7 linked regions of the Oryzias latipes genome follow. The protein of the gene in region 6 purifies or fractionates together with the protein of the main gene of each other region. This does not show direct contact. Links are inferred from orthologs where the notes say so. Each region holds a gene or a part of one and is shown on either strand. Other genes may lie near its edges. The genes, in order: c4h19orf25, fut8, mettl9, cip2a, pds5a, slc30a4 and pds5b.

The links.
Region 1: the proteins of slc30a4 (region 6) and c4h19orf25 purify together in Homo sapiens (affinity purification with mass spectrometry; 3 studies listed by BioGRID and IntAct, counting the BioPlex papers as one, with this or other methods). This does not show direct contact. The link is inferred for Oryzias latipes from reciprocal best matches to the Homo sapiens genes SLC30A4 and C19orf25.
Region 2: the proteins of slc30a4 (region 6) and fut8 purify together in Homo sapiens (co-immunoprecipitation; 3 studies listed by BioGRID and IntAct, with this or other methods). This does not show direct contact. The link is inferred for Oryzias latipes from reciprocal best matches to the Homo sapiens genes SLC30A4 and FUT8.
Region 3: the proteins of slc30a4 (region 6) and mettl9 purify together in Homo sapiens (co-immunoprecipitation; 3 studies listed by BioGRID and IntAct, with this or other methods). This does not show direct contact. The link is inferred for Oryzias latipes from reciprocal best matches to the Homo sapiens genes SLC30A4 and METTL9.
Region 4: the proteins of slc30a4 (region 6) and cip2a purify together in Homo sapiens (affinity purification with mass spectrometry; 3 studies listed by BioGRID and IntAct, counting the BioPlex papers as one, with this or other methods). This does not show direct contact. The link is inferred for Oryzias latipes from reciprocal best matches to the Homo sapiens genes SLC30A4 and CIP2A.
Region 5: the proteins of slc30a4 (region 6) and pds5a purify together in Homo sapiens (affinity purification with mass spectrometry; 3 studies listed by BioGRID and IntAct, counting the BioPlex papers as one, with this or other methods). This does not show direct contact. The link is inferred for Oryzias latipes from reciprocal best matches to the Homo sapiens genes SLC30A4 and PDS5A.
Region 7: the proteins of slc30a4 (region 6) and pds5b purify together in Homo sapiens (affinity purification with mass spectrometry; 3 studies listed by BioGRID and IntAct, counting the BioPlex papers as one, with this or other methods). This does not show direct contact. The link is inferred for Oryzias latipes from reciprocal best matches to the Homo sapiens genes SLC30A4 and PDS5B.

What each region holds. Positions count from the first base shown.
Region 1 is NC_019862.2:22,306,201-22,309,831, forward strand, and holds c4h19orf25 (UPF0449 protein C19orf25 homolog), read left to right. Parts: upstream 1-1,407; 5' UTR 1,408-1,566; intron 1,567-2,230; 5' UTR 2,231-2,253; coding exon 2,254-2,395; intron 2,396-2,506; coding exon 2,507-2,688; 3' UTR 2,689-3,131; downstream 3,132-3,631.
Region 2 is NC_019882.2:5,661,912-5,665,411, forward strand, and holds part of fut8 (alpha-(1,6)-fucosyltransferase), read left to right. Parts: intron 1-540; coding exon 541-787; intron 788-3,500. UniProt on the Homo sapiens protein: Catalyzes the addition of fucose in alpha 1-6 linkage to the first GlcNAc residue, next to the peptide chains in N-glycans.
Region 3 is NC_019877.2:20,101,629-20,105,715, reverse strand, and holds the start of mettl9 (methyltransferase-like protein 9), read right to left. Parts: upstream 2,801-4,087; 5' UTR 2,786-2,800; coding exon 2,606-2,785; intron 2,069-2,605; coding exon 1,878-2,068; intron 1,806-1,877; coding exon 1,596-1,805; intron 1,434-1,595; coding exon 1,249-1,433; intron 1,167-1,248; coding exon 931-1,166; 3' UTR 1-930. UniProt on the Homo sapiens protein: Protein-histidine N-methyltransferase that specifically catalyzes 1-methylhistidine (pros-methylhistidine) methylation of target proteins.
Region 4 is NC_019878.2:3,256,982-3,261,028, reverse strand, and holds the start of cip2a (protein CIP2A), read right to left. Parts: upstream 2,801-4,047; 5' UTR 2,438-2,800; coding exon 2,336-2,437; intron 1,525-2,335; coding exon 1,377-1,524; intron 871-1,376; coding exon 758-870; intron 68-757; coding exon 1-67.
Region 5 is NC_019859.2:13,072,760-13,076,259, reverse strand, and holds part of pds5a (sister chromatid cohesion protein PDS5 homolog A), read left to right. Parts: intron 1-2,000; coding exon 2,001-2,204; intron 2,205-2,786; coding exon 2,787-2,873; intron 2,874-3,143; coding exon 3,144-3,241; intron 3,242-3,460; coding exon 3,461-3,500. UniProt on the Homo sapiens protein: Probable regulator of sister chromatid cohesion in mitosis which may stabilize cohesin complex association with chromatin. May couple sister chromatid cohesion during mitosis to DNA replication.
Region 6 is NC_019861.2:12,910,575-12,912,997, forward strand, and holds part of slc30a4 (zinc transporter 4), read right to left. Parts: intron 1,254-2,423; coding exon 1,100-1,253; intron 882-1,099; coding exon 668-881; intron 555-667; coding exon 449-554; intron 355-448; coding exon 220-354; intron 1-219. UniProt on the Homo sapiens protein: Probable proton-coupled zinc ion antiporter mediating zinc import from cytoplasm potentially into the endocytic compartment. Controls zinc deposition in milk.
Region 7 is NC_019872.2:9,916,994-9,921,042, reverse strand, and holds the start of pds5b (sister chromatid cohesion protein PDS5 homolog B), read right to left. Parts: upstream 2,801-4,049; 5' UTR 2,695-2,800; intron 1-2,694. UniProt on the Homo sapiens protein: Regulator of sister chromatid cohesion in mitosis which may stabilize cohesin complex association with chromatin. May couple sister chromatid cohesion during mitosis to DNA replication.

The sequences.
Region 1 (3,631 bases), on a different chromosome or scaffold from region 6:
ATTTTCTTCTTCATTCTGACGGATCCCAAATGAAAATCCGTTAGTGTCAAAGACTGGTTGATTGTCTATCAAGTATTATACAGAAATTGCATGTCAGATCTCCTGTTTCTGTCTTTTTCATTTTTAATATATTTATTTATTAGGATTATTGGTATTTGAAGCTCCTGAAACTTGTTAAAGATCACCATCTACCTTAAGGATGTAGAGAATCTCTGTTGTTACATTTTTACTTGTTCCATCTTGATGAAAACAATCTTAGAATTCAAAACGTTCTGATTAAAACAAAACTATGTGAACTCTGTCCTTTTGAAGTGTTGTTTTTGTTGCTGCTTACAGGTTTTTGTTGCAGAATGTTGTCAAAATCGAACATTTTTCAGAAATGTTTTGTTTCTTTAGATATTGCAGAGTACGACACACTTTTAAGGTGGGTGTGATCTCTAGATGTTTTTGTCTTGCTTACGTGATTTGAGAAGAAATTCAAATTCTGCATGTAGTTATTTGTGCTGCAAAAAGTGTCTGGTTCAAATCCCAGCTTTCTTCTTTTGTTGTGGAGTTGCAGCATTTTTCTGAGCATAGGATTGAGTGTGGCAGCCTAAATGAACCCCTCAACATTTCCAGGTTATTTGCCCCCCTCCCAAACCAAAGGAAGCTGGGATAGGCTCCAGCCCCCTCAATGACTCACCACAGGATAAAGCTGGACAAGGAGATAGATGAATATTTCATTTGTCTACCTTATCTGGCCTATTTAATTTCTTTTCAAATCCAGGATTCAGAGCAAATAAATGTTTACTTTTTATTCACCAATATTTTCACGCAAGTGCAACTTAAAAAAAAGTCTTTGTACTTGCTCACTTTTTTTGAAATGAAGAGGAATTAAATGAATAATAAAGAGGAATTAAATGAATAAAAAATTAAATGACCCTTAGAATTGCTTTATCTGCTGTTTTTTATTTGGCCTCAGGACTTTTTCTTTTATGGGGGTAATCTTTAGCACCACCCGCAGATCGTTTTGTAGTTTGCCAGTTTGCTACATTAGCTTGCTAAATTTGAAGTTTCGCAAAAAGGTTTCAATCTAAAACTACATTTCAAATTATTTATGAAATATACTAAATATACTAAATATAAACTACAAACTATGTGAACTTTATTGTGACATTAATACTTTTCCTTACTGACTTCATCTTTCTGTTTATTATTTCAATTAAATTTACCAACATGAATCATATTATTTATTTATTTATTTATTTATTTATTTATTTATTTATTTATTTATTTATTTATTTATTTATTTATTTATTTATTTATTTATTTATTTATTTATATAACAAAAAAGCTCAGTTCTTGGTGCAGGTGCCACTCCAAACCTGAAGGGGGAGACAATGCACCTCAAGGATGGTTGGCACCGGATGTCAGTTTGCGAGAGCCTGCGCATGCGCTGGGGGTGCTCACTGTTGACGTGACGCGTTCATGTTCGGCTCTTGTTGATATTTGTGCACATATCACGCCAGTTTTGAGACCCAAGATGCAGTTGAGGGACCGAAATTGACAACAGTTGCATCCGTCTCGGTAAGGCTTTAAAATCTTTACTTTTGAAACTAATCCCGAGTTTGTTTTAGACCATTTTTCTGATACAACTAAAACCTCTTACAAAATGCATAACGTATAACTTTACGCCATTCTTTTCTTATTAAAAATGTAAATGTTTTGAAAATATCGACTGAGAAACTTTTTCATCGTTGTGGTTCTTAAACGTGTCTTTCAGATTAATTACTCGTCGCTGTTTATATTTGTCAGCAGATTAGCCTAATGCTGGTTTCCCTGTATCTGAAATTAAATCCTTAAAAATATTTTCGAAGTTTTAATATGCAAAAACTTGCAGAACTTTCTCAGTTCTTTCTGCAATTTTAAACACTGTTTCGGCTGTGAACGATTTCTGGCTGCTATTTAGCCTCATCACATCACTAAAAACCTATCTGGTGGCTCCACACTGATGAATAAATGAATGGACGAACTTTATTAATCCCAACAATGGGAAACTCAGTTCCAGTACCTCTGCAGCTCTTTAAGAAGAATAAGCACAAATAAAGAAATGCTACATGTTTAAATTAATTATCTACAGACTTATTGATACTAAGCAGATCATAAAAGAAATTTCTGATTAATGCAGAGGTTCTGTATAAATGTACATTTTGAGGGTATTTCTTGCAGAACATCTTGGTTTGTATTTCAGAAGTTGGAGTCAGTTTTGTTGTAATGAACCTCGGATCGAAAGGCAAAAAACGGGTGGTGCTGCCCACCCGCCCCGAACCCCCCAGTGTGGATCAGATCCTGGAGGACATCAGCAGAGCAGCTCCAAATGACCCAGTCTTCAGCATCTTGGAGAAAACTGGAGAAGGCGAGTCTTTGTCCCCCAAAATAAAGTTGACCACTTTATTTTGCCTGCGAATGATGGGACTTTGATTTTAATGTTTGAGTGAATGTTTGTTGTGTGCTTTTCGGCCTCTAGATCCGACCCTGCCTGCAGACAGCGAGGTGGAGTTCAGGTTCCAGCAGTGCCGGCAGTATCTGAAGCTCAATGAGAGCCTGAAACATGCTCAGGGTCAGCTCCAGACGCAGAGGGGGGAGCTGCAGGCGGCAGGGGAGCGGCTGGACAGCAAGGTGGCTGAGGTCAAAGGCCAAGTTCTATAATCCCGAACTGAATACTGAACTGTTACTGCGGTGCCAACAAGCTGAAAATGAGTGGTTTGGAATGGGAAAGTCATTATCAGTTCAAGAAATGAATCAATCTTGAAGAGTAACTGGAAAAAGGGAAATGTTCCTTAGGCTGAATCGCGACTTTCTGCATCCCTTCTCCAGTCGCAGAGGAATTCAGCTGTGTCAGTGTGTACTTGTTTGGGCTGCTATATTCATAAAGCTGATATGAGCTTTTTTTTTTTGTTTTTTTAATATATTAACCCAGGTTCTCAACAATTGTTTTCAAGTGAATGTACAGAAGGTTTAGGGTTTTCATTTCTGTTTTATTTAATCTACTTGTAGTAATTTTTCTGAACACAAGAAAACAGAATCTACTTTTTGATTTTTAATGCTATCGTGTTAAAACAGAGACAAGAAATAAAAATGGAACTAATTAATTTGTAGATATTTTATTCATTTATTTTGAAAAAATTTGTTTTTATAAAACATTTTGTAGAACAATCTGTGTTTTCATGGAAACACCTTTACAGAAGCCTTCTAGAACCTTATAGTTGTTTGGGTTGGAGAAGAAATGGTGTAAAAAAAAAAGTAACCTGGGTGTTTGATAAAATAAAAGCCCAACACAATGGTTTTAAGAAAACACCACTTTTATTAGATGATGGCATTTATAATGACACAACCTGTCTTTTTCAAATGAGTGACCAATGTGGCCTGGTACACTTACAGGTGGGAATTTGACTCGGCTACAAACTTTGATCCCGTCCTGTCTTGAACGAGGCAGTTAACAGCGGCGGTGAAGAGCTGCAGACGTTTGTTAATCTATTTGTCATGACAAGTTCAAGCTGCTAAAGTGTTGCTTTTACTCACGTTTGTCCATTTACAGTCATTTTACTGCATCTGCTGAGGAAGAAACAGCTCAGACGGATGTTTTAGACAT
Region 2 (3,500 bases), on a different chromosome or scaffold from region 6:
ATAATGATAATATATGCCATTCTAACTTAACTTTTATTGAACTTTAAAATAACAATGCGGTGCAATTTGAGTTTTTTTTTAGTTTGGAGCAAAAGGATTTTGACGTATTTTCCTATAGTAATTTCTTTATTTCTAGATCCTAGCTCCTAATGAGACGAAAACTTTTGCTGATTTTGAGAAAAATGCTGTAGATTTAAGTTAAAACCGTTTGAAATATCTCAAATGTCTAAAAACAAGGTTTTAAATATTTGCAAGTGTCCAAAAGTTTGCAGATTGCATAAATGCAAGTCAGATCTCAAAGCCATGTTCTGCTGTCATGTTTTCTACTTGTCTTATTGAGTGCTTGTTGGTAATCAGACAAAACAACTTTATCATGATCTACATTTGTGACTCGAATTTTGATAAAATGTTTTATGAAAACCGCTAAATGATTATTTGCACTCAGGAAAACCCAGATAACCCACATCTGTTTTGTTTCTAAATCCATAGTGTCATGTTTGACCCCCCCCCTCCCTTTTTTTTTTTTTTAAATCATTCTAGGGGAGGCTCATGATAAGGACGTTCAGGTTGTGGAGTTGCCTATAGTGGACAGCCTTCACCCTCGACCCCCTTACTTACCCCTGGCAATCCCAGAAGACCTGGCCCCGCGCCTGCACCGTCTGCACGGCGACCCGTCCGTCTGGTGGGTGTCCCAGTTCGTCAAATACCTGGTTCGTCCTCAGGGGTGGCTGGAGAAGGAGATCCAACAGAGTACTGCCAAGCTGGGCTTCAAGCATCCCATCATTGGGTAAGGAGGCTGTGCTTGTGTGGCTCTTTTTTTCTTGGACTTTAAAGCTCCAGTAATGCAGTTTGCTCTTCTATTACTCATCTGCAGTAAAGCTTTAGAAGAGCTTTATGATGAAAGAACATAAGACAAAGAAATTCAAGAATGGAGCCTGAAATTAACACTGAATGATAATAGTGGAAGGCCAATTCTGGAGTTTTTTTTTCAGCAACTTCATTTGATAGTGGCTTTATTTTCTACATTTATGCACTCAAGGCTTCAGTTTTTACTGTTTTTCTGATAATCATCCAACTCATGTTCATTCAAAACAGCCTAACTGCCTGTTTTGCATGAAATTTCATCACTAAACGATCTGCACCCTCTGGAACCCCCACAGTGTGCTGCAAACAACCATAAGTTCATAAACTTCTCACTGGGTTTATATTTATGCATCCCATATATATATATATATATATATATATATATATATATATATATATATATATATATATATAAACATTTCTGATGGTATTTTGAGGCTTCGTGTCCCGCCCTGGGAGCCTCAGAAATGTTGGGGATCGAACTGTCGATCTCAACTTCTTTGATCTAGTTGTTGTCGACGCCCCACTAAACGCTGGATAATTTATATGAAGTATGACTAAAGACCAAAGGCAATTTCAGAGCCGATAAATCTCAACCCAACAAGCAACGAGATCCATTATTACTGGAAAAAAAAACCAACACAGTGGCCTGGCAGCCATTCTTTTATCTTCAGTGGTCTTTTTTAATTAGTGCTGCCGTTTTATTACATTTTTCTTCTTGTCAACAAATCCCACGAGAGGCCTAAACACAGCAGTCTTATGAAAAGCTGACCTACATTGTCATCCAGACTCTGCTAAAACTCACAACCTGCACATTTATTCCTGATAGTCCCCAAATGTAAAGTTAGTTTTAGTTTAAACCCTGCTAACTTCACAGACCTGTACTTTTTTATTTCTTTAATCAGAAAGTAAAGCATTATTGATCCAAGCAGGTCGACCTTAGAGGGATCACATTACTTTGCCCATAAACTTTGAACACAGAGGGTATTAAAGAAGAATACGCTGTTCAGTTTTGTTTAAATGTACAATTTAAGACAATGGAATGAGATAAAAGTATGGGGTCAAATCAGTGAATATAAAAACAAAATTTGAAGAAAAAAAAGAAATCTGAAAACAGTTTTAACAATGTAAACTTGTAACAAATATTGTAATTAAAAAAAGTACATTTGAAAAAATAGATTTTAGGCTCGAAAGAAATACTGAAAATGTGAAAAATAAAATGTTGCATTTGAAAAAAAAAGGAAAATTTGAAAATAGTTTTAAACTCGAAATTTTTAAACCTTCAGGAAGGAACTATTGAAAATTTTAAAAACAAATCTTTTAATTTGAAAAAGATAAATTTGATACCTAAAAGAAAATTTGAAAAATAGACATTTTAAATTTGAATTTAAACAAATTGAAAGCAGTTTTCAACATAAAATTACACATCGAGATAAATAAAATGGTAAATTTGAAGAAGAAAAAATACATTTTAAAGAATTGTTAAAAATTAGAAAAAAATAGACAACTTTGAAAAAGAAAATTGAGATTTGGAAAACAGTTTTGAACTTAAAAGTATACATGGTAAACTTAGAAGAAACATTGCATTTTTTCAAAGTACATATGAAACAATAAACCGAAAAATGCTACCATTTGTAACAACTGCTGGTTTTTTTTTCAACTTTTTTTTTTTTGTTTGTTTGTTTGTTTCTCTCCCTTTGCTCTCAGTTGTTCCATTTACAGTTTTCATTCAGAATTTTCCCTTTTGGTGCTGAGCCTAAGTTTACATTTTCAAAATTTCATTTCTTGTTTTTCCATATTTACCATCTGTTTTTTATTCACTTCAAGCTGATCCTGATTTGACCCCATATAGAAAGTCAGCTCAAAGCCTCACTAAAGCATGATTTTCAAGCTTCACATATTAATAATCTGTAGGTGATGTTTTATGCTGTCAGTAGAATTTCTTCATTTTTATCAAATTCTGAGCTGTTGGCTGACTTTTTTTTTCTAAAGATATTCTTGCATGAATAACATTATAGCTGTAATTGAGCTTAACTCTGTTTTATTCGGTCATAAACGTGTTTCCTCTAATCCTAACGTAAAGGACGAAAGCCATCCTCAGTCATTTTAATGTCTGTTTTTAGTGCAGTAAACCCTGATCTTCTTTAATTGTATAAATGTTCACCAGATTACTTATGAAAGCATCTTTTCAAGCAGCTCGGCTGGACACATTTGGAAGCTTGTTTACGCTCACTAACCAACACTGGTGTTCCTTCCAGCAGCCTCTCCTGACTCATGAATAATTCTTTCTGTCAGAACTTCAGACGTTATGAAAGATTCTGTCTTGTTGTTTTAACCCATTTAGTCTGGTAGACTCTGGGACAGCATGTATGGTTTCCACAGGAGACTGTAGAATCCGTAGTTCGTTTGCTAACCTTTCCGCAGCTTTGCATGAGACCTAGCTTCAACTCTTCAAAAGAGGAACTAGTTTAAAAGTTTAAATCCGTCTCCCACGTGGTTCTGAGTTTTCCTTCATCTTCTATTTTTCTACACATCTTCTTTGCATTTAGCTGCAAGCCATCGCCAGCAATCTCTGTGTTTTCTTCTGTTTCTCGTTGTTTTTTTTTTCTCACTTTCCATCACCTGGTTCGTCTCAT
Region 3 (4,087 bases), on a different chromosome or scaffold from region 6:
TATAGATCTAAAGCTACAATCAGATACTCTTATTGTGAATATATCAAACGTATGCAGCACTTTTCGGTTTCCTGTTGTCACTTAGAAAGAAATTCACTACTTGATATTAAATTCAGTGCAACAAAGCAAAACAAAAGCATGGAATTCCATAAAGTTTAGCTTGAGGTTTGGCTTTAATACTGAATCGAAGGATGGAAAAGATTTCAAGTTGTTAAAACTGTTTTGGTCAGGTGCATAGATCCATTACGAGTGATCTGGAAATGAAACAGTTCGTAAAATATGATCAAGTTTAGGATCTGGTGGTGCCAAACGTGGCACAGAATTACGCTGATAATCCAACAGAAAGATGCCAAAAGGTGTGACACTCCTATAGGCCAAGCGGCATGTTTTCCCTGCAGTCGTGTAGCAAATGCATCTTAGTGGAGCGGCGTCCAGCATTGTGCAACTAATGCTTGGGATCTTGCCATCATTACCAACCTTGAGGGGGGAACAACGTGAAACGCTCATAAAGTGCTTCACCTCTGGGATATTTCACCTGGAAAACCTCTGTGGGATTTTATGTCTCAGAGGGTGAACAGGCAATTGTAAAAATCTTGTGCAATGGTGAAATCAAATATGTAGTACTATAAATTGAACCGTTTATGCAAATATTGTCAGAAATTTTGGTTAAAACGTTGACAGTTAAACATTTACATCACAAATAATGGACTTGGAAGACAGAAAAACTTTTAGAAAGGATGATCCCCCTTAGGTTTTCGTTTGAAATAACAGTATAACAAACTAAAAAAAAAAAGAAAAAGGAAATCACTGCTGTGTTGCGCCCAACTCCCTGCTTCTAAATTTCCGAGATGAATAAATGCATGAGGAAGAAGAAGAAGAATTGCACTAAAATCCAGGTACTGAGAAGAAATTTTGGGCCCCGTGTTGTGTTCAGAGCTCATGAACAGACTGCTCCGAGTCGCCGGAGGCCTTCAGAACAAAAACCGCATCATCCAGCACATAGTAGTCATTGTACATGTCTCCCTCGCACAGGTACGGCAGACGCGTCACCGCTTCCACCTCAAACCCCACCCGCGGGAAAACCTCGCTGGACAGATCGGTCACCTGCTCCTCCCACGTCTTTCCTTTAACTTTCAGGTGTTCTTTTGGTCGTTCCCACTTCCCGCCTGTCAAGCAGAGAAACGATGCTTGGATTTCTAGCTAGATGAAACGTCAGCAGAAGAGACAGAAATGGGATTCCTCACTGACCGACTTCTACGTAGGGCTGAAAGGGAAGCACAGCAGCCAAGACGAGCCGTCCGGTTTTGGGAACCAAGGCTTTTCTTATTTCCCGCAGGAGGTGCAGTGGATCCTCGCAGCGGTCCAGCAAGTTCAGACAGCTGATAAGATCATACTGAAATCCAACATGCTGCCACTCGTCTATACCCAGAACCCTGTGGCACACGGGAAAAGACAACAAAAAGACAGAGAGGAAAAACTTCTAATTGCCAATTAATTTCAACCCAAAAGAACACAGTGTTATTCTGTGGTTGCATTCTTGTATTGGCTTGAAGGGAAGGAACCTGTGAAAGCTTTTAGGATATGCTTCTACTCACTTGTAGTTCCTCCTCTGCAGATGCCACTTCATTGGCACAGACACCTCAGTTGCAAAGACCTGCCTGAAATGCACTCCCATCACCTCTGTGACCCCTCCATCACCAGCTCCAAGGTCCAGGAGTCTCTCTGCCGTCCAGTCTGGGCCGATCCGGAGCAACTGCTGGAACTGCTCGGACGAAAACACGAACATAGACCCTCTCCCCAAAACCCTGTGACACAGAGGAGGGTCAGGAGCAGGAAGAGGAACACAAGCTGCAATTCAAACACCCACTAGCGCTCACCCGTTAATGGAGGTGCGCGACAAAACGGGGCTTAGGACGGTGGACACCAGCGAGTGGTAGAGCTGCGTGAACAGCCAGCCGGACTTCTCTGCGCTCCTGTTGAGAAAATCCGTGGTGTCCGAGTCCAAGTGGCTTTGGATGAAGAGAGGCCGGACGGATTCTCCCAGCAGATCTGGGCAGCATCGGTACCACTGAACAAACAGAACAAGAGGTTTTGATTTCACAACACTTTTTAAGAAGTCCTGAGGTGAACTCCATCTCCTGTCACCAGTCTCATACAATACCACCCTTTACCTACCCCACAGCCCCTCCCTGAAAACAGTTCAGGTCTGTTTGGATTGAATTTTCTCAGCTCAGCAGAGGTGGGGCTGTGTTAAACTACACAGCAGAAAGTAGAATTTAAGAATTATTTCCTATTTAAATGTTAAAAAATAGTCTTTCCTGTGCAAAACCAATTTCCCCCCTTGTGTTTCAATCCCAGTCATCTTTAAAACTACTGTCACATTGTCTCTTTCAGCATAGTTTCTTTTGCAAAACAGAAGTTTCTCTTTTCAGCATCCCTCTGAATCATTTAGGTCAGTGCAAAGAGGCTAAACGAGCAACGAATAAATAACTAATGACAAATTCGTGACACATTCGAATAAGGACATTCTTGGATTTAAAATAAACACTGTAAATTTAGATTTTGTAGTTTTATATTTTCAGAAAAAAAATAAGGACAGTCGTACCTCGTGTGTTTCCCTGGCACCACTGGCCTCGTGCTCATTCACCATATTCAGGACTAGAGAGCGCACGAGCGGGCTGCGCGCGTGCTTAGCGGTCCACATTCTCCTGATGGAGAGCAGAAACGCCACGTAGCCCAGCAGCCAGGCTACAAAAAACAGAGTCTTCAGCTGTAGATGACACATACGGAAAACAATGTCTGAGAGCCGAGAGAGCGGCAGCCGACAGCAGAGGGACAAGAGCAGGTAAGACGAGAAAACCCCGAGAGGAGAAACGTCTCCTATTCCAGGACTGTAAACCAACCTGAGGTGGGCGTGGGGGGACTTTACGGAGGCAAGCTGCTATTTACGCACCATCTTAGTCCAAGCGGAGCTTTGTTTGCTGAGCTGAAACGGCAGAAACTGAGCCGGGATGAGAAACACTCCCCCCTTTAACAATAAAAACAACCATATCCGCATTCTTCTTCTGGGTGTTTGGGTTGACATAGCACCGAATCTTTGGGGATTTACTGCCCCCTGTCGGCAAACACCGGCAACTTTCTGTTTTCCTGCTGAAAAGGGGGTTCCACATTTCAAGCCATTAATCATACAGAGTATCTAACTTATACCGAATGTATGTAGTGATTTATTTATTTCAAACATGTAAAAACAATAAAAATAACAAATACGATCATGATTTTCAATACTTGGAAAAAAATGTTTTCCATTAGACTGATGATGATGATGATAATTATAATAATAATTGTTGTGACTTTATATGATGTTGCTCCGAGTTACCTTAGCGTGGGTGCTATCAGCGGGTCTCTTAATTAGGACCGACGACAGGGACACAGCTTTCGGTGCAAGAGCTTTTACATGTACTTTACTCTGAAACCCCTCATGGCATATACAGGCCGACAGCACCATCTATTGGTGGCGGTGGTTATTACTGTCTATCACAATATACCACATCCCTCTTTTCCCAAGACATGTTAGTCATAACATCTTCAACAGTTGTTTAAACACAAAAGCACCCTCTAAATAATTTGAACATTAGACGGTCTTATGCTCTTAACATAATGGCTAGGCAAATTCAGATTGTAAACAACCTTACATTTAACAATGTGCATCTTAGTGCAGTAGTCTGAAACTTCGACATACAAACATTTAACTTATTTCTTAAAATGTTTTAAAACGAACATACTCTTTTCTTTTACGTAACCATTAAACAAATCAAAGCAACAGTATGAACACAAAACTGTCACATTAACTAGTCTCTGTATCTGGCAGGACGTATGACTGCTCGACCACTGCGTGTGAAGTACGGTGCTGTGTTTTCCATACTCTCTGAAGATGATTTCTGTGGGGAATCACATGCTGGTGGATCAACTGACTCTGGGTTTTGAGATAATAGTCCATCCGAGTCCAAATTCAGAGTTGTGTCCTTAAACAAACTTGAGTGTGTTTTCCTCAGATGCCTTCTGTTCCTCCTGAGAGTATTACCTGATG
Region 4 (4,047 bases), on a different chromosome or scaffold from region 6:
GGTGGATGCAGCTGTTGGACTGAAAGACGCGAGTGTTGTAGGTCAGTTTCTGCAGCACCTGCAGACACTGAAACACCACCAGCACAACGTGACATCCACTGTTAACAGGAGCAGAAGCATAGATAATAATCACCCAAATCAGAATTTTGGCAAAATATTATAAGAGAAAATGGTCAGGAAAAGCACCCACATCAGAATATTTAAAAAAAACTGATTAGAAAAATATATTTATATCTATATCTATATATCTATATCTATATATATCTGCCTCTATAGAAAATGTAATTTATATATAATTTAAAGTTATTGAAAACAATTTTATGTCATTGCTTAAAGTCAGGTTGATGGTTCTGGTAAAAAATGAAGGGCTTGTGTTTTAAAAAACACTTTACTTTTTCACATTTTTATGCAATCTTTTGTTCAACCCATAAATAAAAGCTAAAAGTCTGCACTTCAATGGCATCTGAGTTGTTTTATTTCAAATTCACTGTGGTGATGTACAGAAACTAAATTAGACAGAACGTGTCTCTGTCCAAATATTTATGGTCCTGACTGTAACACAATATTTTTTTTCTTTAGAGAGAAATGGGTTTCAGCAGCCAGCTAACGTGGGAGCAGCTTCGGATGAGACCTAATCAGGCATCAGCAGGAACATCTAAACAACAGGAGAGCACAGTTCCGACAGAAAGCTCTGTCTAAAGTGGGGGCTCCTTCTGAGATCGGTCACTCCCTCACCATGACTACCGTTTGCTCTCACCTGCAGCACCAGCGGCTCTCCTGGAGTGCTGCTGTAGCAGTGGATGACAGCAGCCAGGGTGCTGGTAAGGTTGTAGCTGCTGTGAAGAAGCTCCCGGGTGGAGTTGTCAGAGGCTGCGGGTGGAGGAAAACGTGCAGCAGATGAGTCCGAAAGATCAGATCTAGATTGTGAAATTCCTCCTCCTAAACTCATGAAAAATCCAAAGAGCGTCTCACTGATCTGACTTAAACGTGTTAATGCTAATCATTTGCTGCAAACCTCTCCTGGTTTATGAACACAAACACGTTTCTGTGGTTTCTTTGGATCTGGTTATGGTTCATTTTTAAAAAATGATCAAATATTTGAGGAGCAAACTAATGAAACCTGGACAGAAATTCCTGCTGTATTCATCAAAGCCATACGTACACTGTGTGTGTTTCATTTCCAGTAGAGTGGAGGTATGAGGTGTGGAGTTATAAACTGCAATGACCTGACAGGTAGCATGTCACTTGTGCTCTTTGTAAATGGGTAATTAACTCAGTAAAGCAGGGGGTAATTATGTATTGTATCCAGTGCAATAAGTTCTTTTAGCTAAATATGGTACAAACATGCTTGGTAAGATTTAACTTTTGAACTCTACCTAACTGCGCCAACAGAGAGATGATGGAGCTTTTCAGGCTGGGCTCAGTGTGCGGGTTTGCAGTCAGCTCCACCAACATGCTCACACACTCGCTGGTCAGAGCGCTGCCAGATGTCAGCAGCTGCTCGCATTTCAAGCCCCAAACTTCCTGCAAACACGCAACAAACAGAATTGAAAAAATGGATCCCACAAAAGGGGACATTTCCTTGTGAGCGTAGCTCTATTAAAAACAGCAGATAATAAACAACACTCCAAATACACTTGAATTAATGACAACAATAATTATGATTCAGCGTCTATGAGGCGCTGTAGAGTCTAAGAGCTGACAGGAAGAAGCGTTTCTTCCTGCAGTGATCTGTTAGTCTCTGACTGAAGGAGCTGCTCAGTGGTCACATGCTGAGGATGATGAAGGTGAAGAGGATTGTCCATGATGGATTCCAGTTTCCGTAACATCCTCGCACCAGTTTGGTGATCCTCTTCCTATTCCTGTCAGTGCATCCACCCCACCCCCCCAGCAGCTCACTCCGAAGAGGGCAAAGGAGGGCAGGTGCAACAACTGGTGCAAACTAAATTGAATTATGTCAAACCGTAACTTTGATTGAATCGTGCACTTCTGAATGGAATACTAATTCGACTGATTATTTCTTTGCCAGCCAGCCAGCAGGGTTCTGGATTGGTCAGCAACCCAGATGATCTGTTTAATTCTGTTATGTTGATGCATATCAGGGAAAGGCCAAGAGTTCAGGAGCAAAATCAGAACCTGATCACATTCATGTTTCCAGGTCACAAACTCTGCCTGCGGGTTTCTGACAAAAACACGAACCAAACATTTGTGCCAAGACAAAATAAAGGTGAGTTTTGCTGCAGAGTTCTGCGTTTGTTGTTCCTCACAGTGACAGAGTACAGATGACGTCTCACACGAGCAGTGACAAAGACTACGTCTGACCGCTGGTGCTCACCTCCACCTGTTTTTGAAGCTGTGCTGCTTGCTGCGCCGTCCTGCCGTCTCTGTACTGCTGGATAGCCAGCAGCAGAGACTTCAAACACGTCGTTGTGTCCATCTTGGGGGACTGTTATGACAAGTGCTAACGCCCGCTAGCAAGTTAGCTCAACGGCAAACACTAGTCGCGGGACAACCAATTTTCTTGCTGTGATTTGAAAAAAACAAACAAACAAATCCCGCTAACTTATTTTAGCACATTTATAGCTGTTCAGCCACTTCACTTTTCTACCATTCATTAATATCAACTAAAGCAAAGCGACGTCCTCCCGCTTCCAGGTTCGAACGAAGAAGGAATGAACCATGTCCAAAAAAGGTTGTTCGGGAAAGCTTTTTTTAACTGACTGGATGAACATCAAATTGCCTTCTAAATTAGTCTGTAGTATATTTTTTATTGAAAGTGGTGTTTTATATAAGGCCCATTAAATCGTCACCATTAAGTTTTCTATATAAACAAACAAACAAAAATTCTAAAAATCCCCCCTCCCCAATTTTATGGATATCACCCGAAGTGATGACGCAACAAGACAGGTAACCAATCACCGTCGTAGAGACATACACACATACAGACACACGCACGCACACACTCAAAAAGTAACAAAATATATTTTTTGTTAAATATGTAAAAAAAATATTTATCAAATGTTTTTTAACTTTTTTGTTACAAATTTTGCAAACTCACAAAGAGAATTCTGAAGTTAACCAATTAAGACATGAAGGAAAAAAAATTGAAAATGACTGAAAAAAATATTTTTCATACTTTTGGACATGAAAACAGCATAAACAATTTCATATTATTTTAGGATTGCTCCTAAATTAATTTAAATGTTAAATGATTAATCAATAATATTTATTATACAAATGTTTTATTGAAAACTTGTATTATAAATCTGTTGTGCTGTTTGTGCTAAACGTTTGTGCTTTATGTAACTGTTGTTTTATATTTTATTTCGTCAACAATTTGGAGAACAAAGAAAACCGGCGCACATGTCCCCACCGCAGGGCCCCAGCGATTCTCTGATTCTTATTGGTTATCAGTGTCGGGCCAGCTGACCTATCGTAAAAGGAGACACTGAAACGTCTAGGATAGACTTCTTTGATTGGTGCAAAGGGTTGGCGCCTCTTGAATCGATGCAAGCAAAGCGGGCGGAAAGAGAGACAGACAGGGAGCAGTTTGAACCGTGTTTGAGTGCAGGCGGAAATATAAAAATAACATCGTTGTTGTCAGGAGACAGATAATGTAACTGCTGGAAACTCAAATGAAAAAAAAAATATATAAAAACGGAATATTTAATTTAGATTCAAACGTAAAGTAAACGTTGTTTTTACCAAATTCGGTGACGTGAAGCCGGTTCTGGCGCTAAGTAAACCGCTCCGTCCCGCCTAGCTAACCGCTAGTTAGCCTACAAGCTAACATTACAGCTAGCAGTGACACGGAGCGGCTAATCTCCAACACAAAGGACGACTTTGCGTATCTCTACCGTTGCCATTCCGAATCTCTCCGTTGAATGAGGACTGAGCCTCCTGTACAGGTGAGGGCGGTTGTCACTGTGTCGAAATACAGCCCTTCCCTAGATCGGCCGAGTTTGTTCTCGGTTTGTGGATCTCCCCGTCTCTTTGTTAACCACCCGACTCGCTAGCTGAGCTCGCCAGGCTGTCGTGCCACATTTT
Region 5 (3,500 bases), on a different chromosome or scaffold from region 6:
TCTTTACTTTACTTTATTCTACAATTAAAGAGGTTGTAACTGCGGAGACCTTTTGCAATCAAAACAGATCTTATAATAAATGAGAAGGAAAAGAAATATGGCTGTATGCGCATGCCTGCTTGTGGAAGGCATCTACCTAAGACTTAAAAACAACACAGTTGTGTATCCTAATTTTCTTGTGAAGGTTGGCCCTTTCAGGAAAACTATGTACTTAAGGATGTAACTCTGGAATTGCTGGCTACTTTCAAAACCCACCCCTTGAGTTTCTTTGTGTCGACTTTATATAGAAAACTGGACAATGCTGTGTGTGACGTCACCCATAGAGAATACCTTACCTCCAGCTCCAGCGAAATGAAGCCTAATCATTAGCCATTTTTGCATGACACCCCACCATCTTGGAGCCAGACGACAGTGATTGATCCTAGTCGGTTACGTTTCTAGGGCAACTACTGTGGCCAATCATGAGTAAGCTTGTTAGAAGTCCACACTCCTTCCACTGAAAGCGGGCCAGGGAGAATGCGTCAATCAAATGTTCAAGGTGGGGGCCAGCATTATTATCACATGCTTTTTATTAGCCATCTGGTTGGTCAGTTTAGAATTTGAATAACTTGTGATAAAGAAAAAATGTAATGAAAAAAATAGATTAGCAAGAAAATATTAAGAAAAATGTATTGGAACAAGAACATTTAGTCTGACCAATGGAAGGACTTAGGCACAGCTGTTCTAAATAGAAGTCTCTGGGTTTTTGTTTGCTTGGAGCCAGCATGTACTTCCTATTTGGAATGCAAGGGGGAGGGGTCACTCAGTCCAGTTCTCTGTATACAGTCAATGGTTGAGGTGCAGACGACCCTAGCCTTAGCTTTGCTGATATGACAACTATAAAGTCTATAAATGAGCTGCTGGTTTTTTGTTCACACGGAGGGAGAAATGACAGTTCTGGAAGTTGTGCAATGAGTTCTCATGTCACTGTCATCCATCTTCTCTTTTTTTTTAACAGTTGCACGGATGTAAAACTAAAAAATGTATTGGATAAAAGTGAATACTTGCCAGAAAGTATCTGCTCTTTGAAGAGAAACCTTCATGTCAATTTAAATTGATGTCTGAATAACTTCTGTTATTATTAAAAATAAACCCCATCTACAAGTAAATTCAAAAATCGTGTAACTTAAGAAATCAGATTCACATCGTGTGTGTGGTTGCATGGAATCACACACAGTTTGTCTTCAGGCTTCAGTCATATCTGCTGCACCATTACAGAGCTTCAACTTTGAGACGTCTGTTCTGACCTCCAAGGTTTTAAATGAGGAAAAAGTTGCATGATGTGAACGTAGAAGCTGGAAAGACAGAAAATGAAATTGATGACAATAGAGCAGCTGCTGGTTAGCCGACTGTTACAGTAGAAATCAAAGCAATTGACAGCTGTACCATCTGTCCCTGATATGTTTAAGCCAATGATGGTTTAAACAGCTGCGTCATTTTGCTGTGTTTGCATTTGTATACTAATCTTGAATTCTGTCTGCTCAAGAATTTTATGTAAATAGTCTAATAACTCAGATCTTGAATATGACACAACCATGTAAATACATGTTTCATCATCTTTTCTGGAAGTGATTTATCTTACACAGAGGGGCTTTTCTGTGCTGTGGAGCAGCCTTCGACAACCTGTCTCTGCTTGACTTGATGAAAAAAATACTTTGTTTGCTTTTTTTGTTTTTACAAAAGTTTCTGACAGAAGCTTTCATTGATCCCTCTGGCATCTTTGAATTATAGAGGAGCAGCAGAGCTCAGATTCTGTTTTTTCTTGGTACATTTCTCAAGCTCAATCTTCGATCTCAAGCTCTAAACAAACATTCTGCATCGGGTGTCTTCATGAGCTATCATGAAGTCAGACTTTATTAGAGTAAATTTAATATTAAATTACAATAATTAAATTAAGGATCCTGCAGCCAACGACATAAATAAAAGTGATTTTACTTTAACACCTTCCTTTATCTTGACAGATGGTTGTGAAAACCTACATGGACATGGATCAGGACTCAGAAGAGGAAAAGCAGCAGTACCTTGGCCTGGCGCTCCACCTCGCCTCCGAGTTCTTCCTAAGGAACCCAAATAAAGATGTCCGGCTGCTGGTGGCCTGCTGCCTCGCTGATATCTTCAGAATTTACGCTCCCGAGGCTCCTTACACCTCCCACGACAAACTCAAGGTTAGCAGCTGATGCTTTACCCAACACAGTTTAAGTCAGAATTATGGAAAGATGGTTTAAATGCATCATATCCTGAACAATTCACAGGTGTATTGCCATTACCAATAAGAGAGGGGAGCCACCAATATATTTGACTTATTTTCTATGCCAACTTCACGATATTTCAAAATAAAACAAGCAATAAACAGCAGTCAGATAAAAAACGTTATGTTGTTAAATCTGCTTCTTCTACATCAAATAATAATAATGATAAAGTGTAATTATTTTTAAATTCATAACCATTACAAAAAGTAAGTATTTTAACTGCATTCTGACACTTGAACTAACAGGAACAAATGTGTTTTAAATCACTTTAACATTGGTGTTATTAGTTGTTTGCTCTGTAATTTAACAAGACTTTTGGAAAGAAAACCTATAGTTATTGATTTTCATTTGAAATTTGTTTCTTGATATTTACCTTTTTGCCTCTTCATTTAAATAAACAGACTTAAAAAGTTGTTTTGCTGTAAGAGTCCACTGCTAAAAGGGCAGATGTGTTTGTACGGATATTGGAACTGAGTTCAAAATGATTTATTTCTGCAGGACATCTTTCTCTTCATTACCAGACAGCTGAAGGGACTAGAAGACACCAAGAGTCCTCAGTTTAACCGTTATTTCTACCTGCTGGAGGTACAGTAGAAACGAAGCCCAACTAAAAGTCGCTTCTTCTTTCAGATTTTTGACAATAAGCTTAATGTCTTAATATATGACTATAAATAAAGTCATTTCTTTTATTTCTTTATTTATGTATTTTTTATTGCTATTTATATATTATTGAAAGTGTCTGTTTTTAGAATTTAGTCAGACTAAATGTCAAGTTTCTTTGTCTCAAACAAAATGCAGTCATGCACAAACCAATCAAGGTTTTTTTTTCCAAACGTTTTTTTTTTTTTTTTCTAGAACCTTGCATGGGTGAAGTCATACAACATCTGCTTTGAACTGGAGGACTGTAATGAGATCTTCATCCAGCTCTTCAAAACGCTGTTCTCCGTCATCAAGTAAGGCTTTAGAAACCTGCTCTTACCTGTAAAACTCTTCCTGCTGGAGACTCAGGCGGTCTGATAAGCACCTTTTGAAATAGACGGATAATTTACATCAAATACTGAGTGTCCGCTTAGTCATAGAACTGCTTTCCTTTTGCTCTTTTAAGCTAGTTTGTTTTAATGTTCCATTTAAGAAAAATGAAGTGTAACATTTGAGTGTTTGGTCTTGAACAGTAACAGCCACAATCAGAAGGTGCAGATGCACATGATGGAC
Region 6 (2,423 bases):
AAACTAAAAATTCCAGCTGTCAAGAACCCTCAAAAAAAGCTATAAATAGGTACAAGAGGAGTATTTGTATTCAAAGACTACAAGTAAAATTGGGAGGCTGATTCTTAGTCGTACTTCTGTCTGTTGGTTGGTTCAACTCCCGAGGCTGACAGTTAACCTAATCCCACAGAACCCCACATGTTGAAACCCTGCAGGCTGCTTTGGACAGAAGCTACTCACTGAGCTGTAGATGAACTATAGCAGCCGTCTTGTCAGCCGTCAGTGCCCACACGTTCAGCTCATCGATGGATTGGACATCCTCCAGCTTCAAGAGGTCTTCTCTGATTCGCTGAGTGTCAAGGTGTCTGGGCACACCTGACATACCATCACAGAAACTTTACTGTTATAGATCTCCTATCCGAAGCAAAGATGACATTAAATGGACATTGGAAATAGAGCAAAGACTCACCTTCCAGCACAATGACTATTGTGTCTCGAATGATGCGGATTGTGGTGAAAAGAACCAGGACTGAGAAGATGTAGGTACAGATGGGGTCTGCCAACTTAAACTCTGGCTGTAAAATTTAAGAATGAAAACAATAATAAGGAAACCAAATATTTAAATATGAGAGAAAAATGAGAAGCAAGTTCTGAAAAAAGTTCTTTGTTGATGTTTTTGTCAGTGTACCTTGAACCGGACAACATAGGCAGCAATAAGAACCCCGACGCTCTGCAGGAGGTCTCCCAAAGCGTGGATGAAGGCAGCCCTCACAGCCAGGCTCCCATGAGGCTGACCAGACCCAGCCGGCCGTGAACCTGCAGCAGCTGCAGAACTGTGCGAGTGGCCGTGACCGTGGCTGTGCGAGTGTAGGTGGCCGCCTTGGTTTAACAAAAAGCCCATTCTAGAAAACCAAGACCAGAGGACATCAATAATCTTTCAACTTTAACTTACATCATCGTTTTTGGAACTGATGAACTGAATCCCATGAACTGAAATCAAATATTATATAATGACTTTATAATATAACACTTGCACAGTTTTATTTTGTAAAGAAACCTTATGTTAAGGCTTTGCATGTTTTTGAAAGGCTTTGAATAATAATCCAAAGGTTTTACATACATGAGATTAACAGCCACTCCCACAGCAGCAGTGATGAGCATGACATCCCCATCTATGCTGAAGTCTTGGTGAACAGTCCTCTGAACCGCCTCATAAAGTAAAACACCAGTCAGGATGTAGATAAGCACCACACTGAGCACGGCTGACACCACCTCTGCAACGACAAAGGACTGTTGTGTTAGCAAAAACCTTCACCAAGCCAAAAAACAAAAGCTTTTTGGAAAACATCCATGGCTCACTTGATCAAAGATAACAATTTATTTGGTCTTTTTTGAAAAAAAGATAAAAACACCAATGTTTAGGAGATTTCAACCCTAATAAGTGATTGTCAAAACACCTCTTGCTTTACATTAATTTTTAACACACTTGAACAGAACATTTTTCTCTTTTTTTGCCAAAAGCAGTAAACTTCTTTTTCTGTGATACAACGATGCTGACTGGGTGAATTTTTGTCTTTCCCCGATGTTTTGCAGAGTCTGAACAAGCCTTTATGGACCGGTCCACAAACACAAGCTGATGTGTTTGAGTCTAGTTCGTCTGCAAGTCGAGTTTTAATCACATTTGCTTCTCCATCTCTGATTTTATGGAAAAGAGTCAGCCATTACCTGCATGAGGAGCAAAAGATGTCTGGCTGTTTAGATTTGCTTCATTTGTATGAGCATGAAAGCTCATGTGAAATTTAAAGGAGGACTAAACAGATGAATCCTGCTGTGCCTTAAAAGGGTGGGTCAAATGTCTGTTAGCAAGTAAAGCCTGACGGGATGGAGCTAGTGCAACTTCAGACCAGAATCATCTGGAAAATTTCTCGTCAGCTGAGACGGATTTAGATGCTTCTTTATATAAACCCACAGAAATACAAAAGAACACAAAGCACAAGCTGAGTTTTCGTTTTTGTTTCTTCCAAATTATTTTCTCCTTTGTAACTGTGTCTCAGGAAACCCTCTCCCCTGAAATAGCAGCCAAAGCACTTGGTCCACTCTCAAAAGTGCATTGTGAAAGCAAACCAAAACAAAAGTTGCTGATAGCCAGCTGACATAAGCTTAGTGTTCTAACTAAGAAACCACAAGTGTGAACACAAATGACCTGGTCTTAAAAAAGCTAAACAGACATCTCAGCCTCTTTTCTGTTCAGAGTTCACATTTGACCTACTTTGCTCATAAAGAGAGACGTTTTCAGAGCAACGTCCATACATATAGCTCACAGGGATACTAGATTTTTCTGGCTTTAACCTCTACTCCCTTGCTTGCAACTATGCTTAAAGGTTGTTGTTTGCATCGTTTTAATCGTTTTCTATGGGAATTTGACTAAATGTGGAGAAATCACA
Region 7 (4,049 bases), on a different chromosome or scaffold from region 6:
TTTTTTAATCCTTATTATTACTATGTGTATTACACAACTCTAATTTTAAACAGTAAAATAAAAAAAAATCTAATCTTGGTGATTAAAACTAAACATTCCAAACTAAATATTCGTTTATTTTTCTAAATTTAGAAAAGATTTGATTAGCTGTCAGGTTTCATTTAATTACTTTAAGCTCTTTTACTTAACTGTTTTTGATTGGAATGAAAAACAGAAAACATATTAAACACAATGTATAATGTTTTTTTTAAATAAGAGAAGAGAGCATTTTGAAACTTTTAGATCTTTCAGAAGACAAGAAATATAACTTTTTTCTGCTTTTAAAAATCCTCTCTTATAGAAAGTGTCAAAACTGCTGTAAATCGGACTGAATCACTGTTCTACCTAACAACAGTGGGGTTGCTCAACACAGATGTTAGTAGGTCAAGTTCCTACCTTATCTTGAAATCAAAAGAAATGTTACACCTCCAATAATCAACCTTAAAAAACACACCAACAACAAAGCTAAAAATAATTAGGATCTGTTACTGATAAGCTTTTAATATTAAAATACGTAGAATAAACAGAGAGTCAACTAATTAAGAGAAATTAAAAATACAGAACAATGCCAATTTTAATGACTTAAAAATAGGAATTGAAGCAATAGACTTAAATGCACTAAAGTGGCAAAATGAAATAAAAACATAGAGATTAAAAAAAAAAAAGGCAATTTCAACATCCTTTTTTTAAAAAAGAAAACTGAGGGATGGAAATCTAATCAGATTTCCCCCCAAACTCATCTAAGAAACATTTTTAAAGCAGAGTTAAGAATCATTCTATCCTTCACTCAACATGTTAAACACAAGCTACTGTAAAAGCCTTTACTGGTTTATCACAGTCCAACACACGTATCCACCCCACAGAGGGTTTTCCATCAAGCTGTTTCTTCTGCTCTGCTCACTTTGATCCTTTAAATATAGCTGCCAGCCAGGGCGCTATTCTCCTTTCCTTAATCTTGAACCTTGACAGAGGCAACATTGGTTTAACCCTGTAAGTAATCACCAGGAAAGGAAAGAGTGAAAGCCAAGAGAATGTGGCAGGGACACCAGCGTCTGGAAGGGCGAACCCTGTGACCCCCCACACACACCAACACAAAGAAAGGACGGAAAATGAGCTGACAATGTGAAAGAGCTTGATTTCACTGAAATTAAAGCAACTTTGGAAAATTTGAGGAAAAAACACCAACAATAGATTTCAACGAAGGCTGCCAAAAGAGTTAAAAACTGTCCAAAAATAACAAAAAAGAAACAGGAAATAACAGTCATAAACCTGCAAATCTATAAATAACAAACATGTGAGCAATGCTCACACAATTGTAGTTTGCGTATTTCCCTTAAAATTCAGCTAAAATTGAAATATATAAAATGTGTTTACATAGACAACATGGCTATGGTTCAGAAACACATAACTATACCCAAATAACATTAATCAAAAGCTAAGAATGAAACAAAGCATGCTCGAGTAGTCATTTAATCCTATCCAATTTCTAAATCCAACTCAAGTCATTCATTAACAGAAAGAAAAGAAAACAAATCAACAAACGGCTTGAAAGAAATGTTAAAGTTTTGGTTCAACACAACTTTTGTATACATTTGTAAGTGTCAACATAAAAGACTTGTGTCATGGCTACAGTGTCAACGACCACACAAAACGCGATTCCCACACACATCTGCAATGTTCAGCCAGCTTGATGGTTGTCAACAACAACACGCCGTAGCGCCCTGGAGGAGACTGTCAGCGCAAACATACTGACACTTCATAACTGTTCCTCCTGGTTCCATACTGCTATCTTGAACGGGGAAACTTTGCAAGATGCTATTATTTAATGAACATAATGTGTGCAACAAAGAGGCGTGTAGTTAGTCGAAATCAGATGATACGACGAATTTGAATTATAAGTACACGTTTTCTTTAATCACCTGCGTTGAAAAATATTACGGTGAAAGTATTTTATAGGGCTTTATGTTATCTCACTAGGTCATCTCATAGAAGAAAGTAACAGCGAAAATCACTGTAGTTAGTATTCGGGATGCATTCCAGCAATGTGTTTAAATTGAGGGGGGAGGGGTAGATAAACCATAGTTTGTAACTAGCAATTAGGCTTTAATTAGCATTTTTTAGGGGTCGGGGACCGTTAAAAAGGCAGACACTACTGAGAGTCTGGCTATGTTGACTGAAGCTAACTGTGTTAGCCGCCGTTTGCTGGCTCGCACACATGCTAACTCCTACATTGACTAGCGCGTGCAAGCTAGCGTTAGCAACAGCAGCAATCTCAGTGACAGAGGGCGGACAGACAGTAACGCTGATGGAACAAAACACTCCGGCTAGCCACCTTTATATCGTACCTGGTATCTCGACCCTTTTTCCCACAACCAAGCCCAACTGGTGTTTGCTTTTACTGTGCTATGCTAATAAGCTAGTTTTAGACGGGCTAGCCGTTTTTTGCGCCCAAGCAGCAAGTCAACCCAGCGCTGTGAATCGGACAAGACTACCGAGAACACAGGCGAACGAGGCGGGCTGCACTCCACATTGTTGCGCCAGAAACCTGGCCGCTTCACGGGCACATCCCGGATCAAACTGATGTTTTCGCAAGCGGGCATGCAAAGGCTGCTAATTTAAAATGGAACAGGTATCCTCACAAGTGCATTTTCATACCTGTTACGATGAATAGTGATAAATAGCGTCCTCCTCTGCAGCTCTCTTCCCCCTCCTAGCTCCAAAATGGCGCCAATATGCATAGATTCAGAACCCATGGGTAAAAACTATCAGCAAGTGTGTAGTGCCACCTATAGGCGACTACAGATATGACTTTTGGACCCAATTGAGTCGTTCATGCGGCGTTCAAGTCATTGAATGAAATAATGGAAATATTGGCGTACTTTACATAAAGATGGACGAATTTTCAAACAACTATTAATCAGTCCATTATAATTATAAAATCATGTATTAGCAGTTTCAGCTCGAGATTTGTGTTTGGAAAAAAATACGAGAACTTTCTAGTTTTGTGATTTATTGAATATGGCTGTGGTTCCTGTTTATATTTCTGAAATCCCTTATGCATATATACATATCATGCAATTCATTATATTAATGAGAAAAAATTATTCAGCGTTAAAATCAACACAGAGAACTTAAAAATCCCCACTATCCCGACGACGCGTGAACGCAACGAAACGCTTTGACGTCAAATTTATATTAGTATTTTCCTTTGTTCCCAATATTGAACCAATCAATCAATCAATCAATCAATCAATCAATCAATCAATCAATCAATCAATCAATCAATCAATCAATCAATCAATCAATCAACCAACCTATCTATCTATCTATCTATCTATCTATCTATCTATCTATCTATCTATCTATCTATCTATCTATCTATCTATCTATCTATCTATCTATCTATCTATCTATCTATCTGACAGCAAGAAACACTAAGACTGAAATTAAAAACATAAATTTTATTTGATTCAGTTTCTATCTCACTTTTCTTTGAAAAGCAAACTTTTTCTATCCAGTGATTCTTATTTTTGAGGCTTCATGACCAGTTTCTTTTGTCTGACCACCTATTCATTTAAATTTGCATGTATGATACTTTCATCCATCAGTTCTCTAACTACAGCTGTTTATGCTTAGAGTCTATTCATAAGGGGCGTTTGCTGTCCTTTTCATAGGTCTTTAGTCCTACATGAATTAATTTTATTTTAATTCTTCTTTACATCATCTGGTTTCATCATACTCTGAAGTATTACTTGGGCAGTTCTGACGTTTTAGCTTGCAGGCCAACTTGCTTGATTGTAAACAGATTTATTTCTTAGTATAAATGATGAATTAATGGTTTCATATTAACTAAATATTTTTATATTCATATTAAAATGTGTTTCTGTCCTTTTTTTCTTGGGTAATATCCCTACACCAGCCTGTCATCTTCTCCACTTTATCACTGCAGGTGCTCTCCACCACCATAATGCCAGCCTCAAACTTGACAGTGACGTCATTTGTGTTGGGCA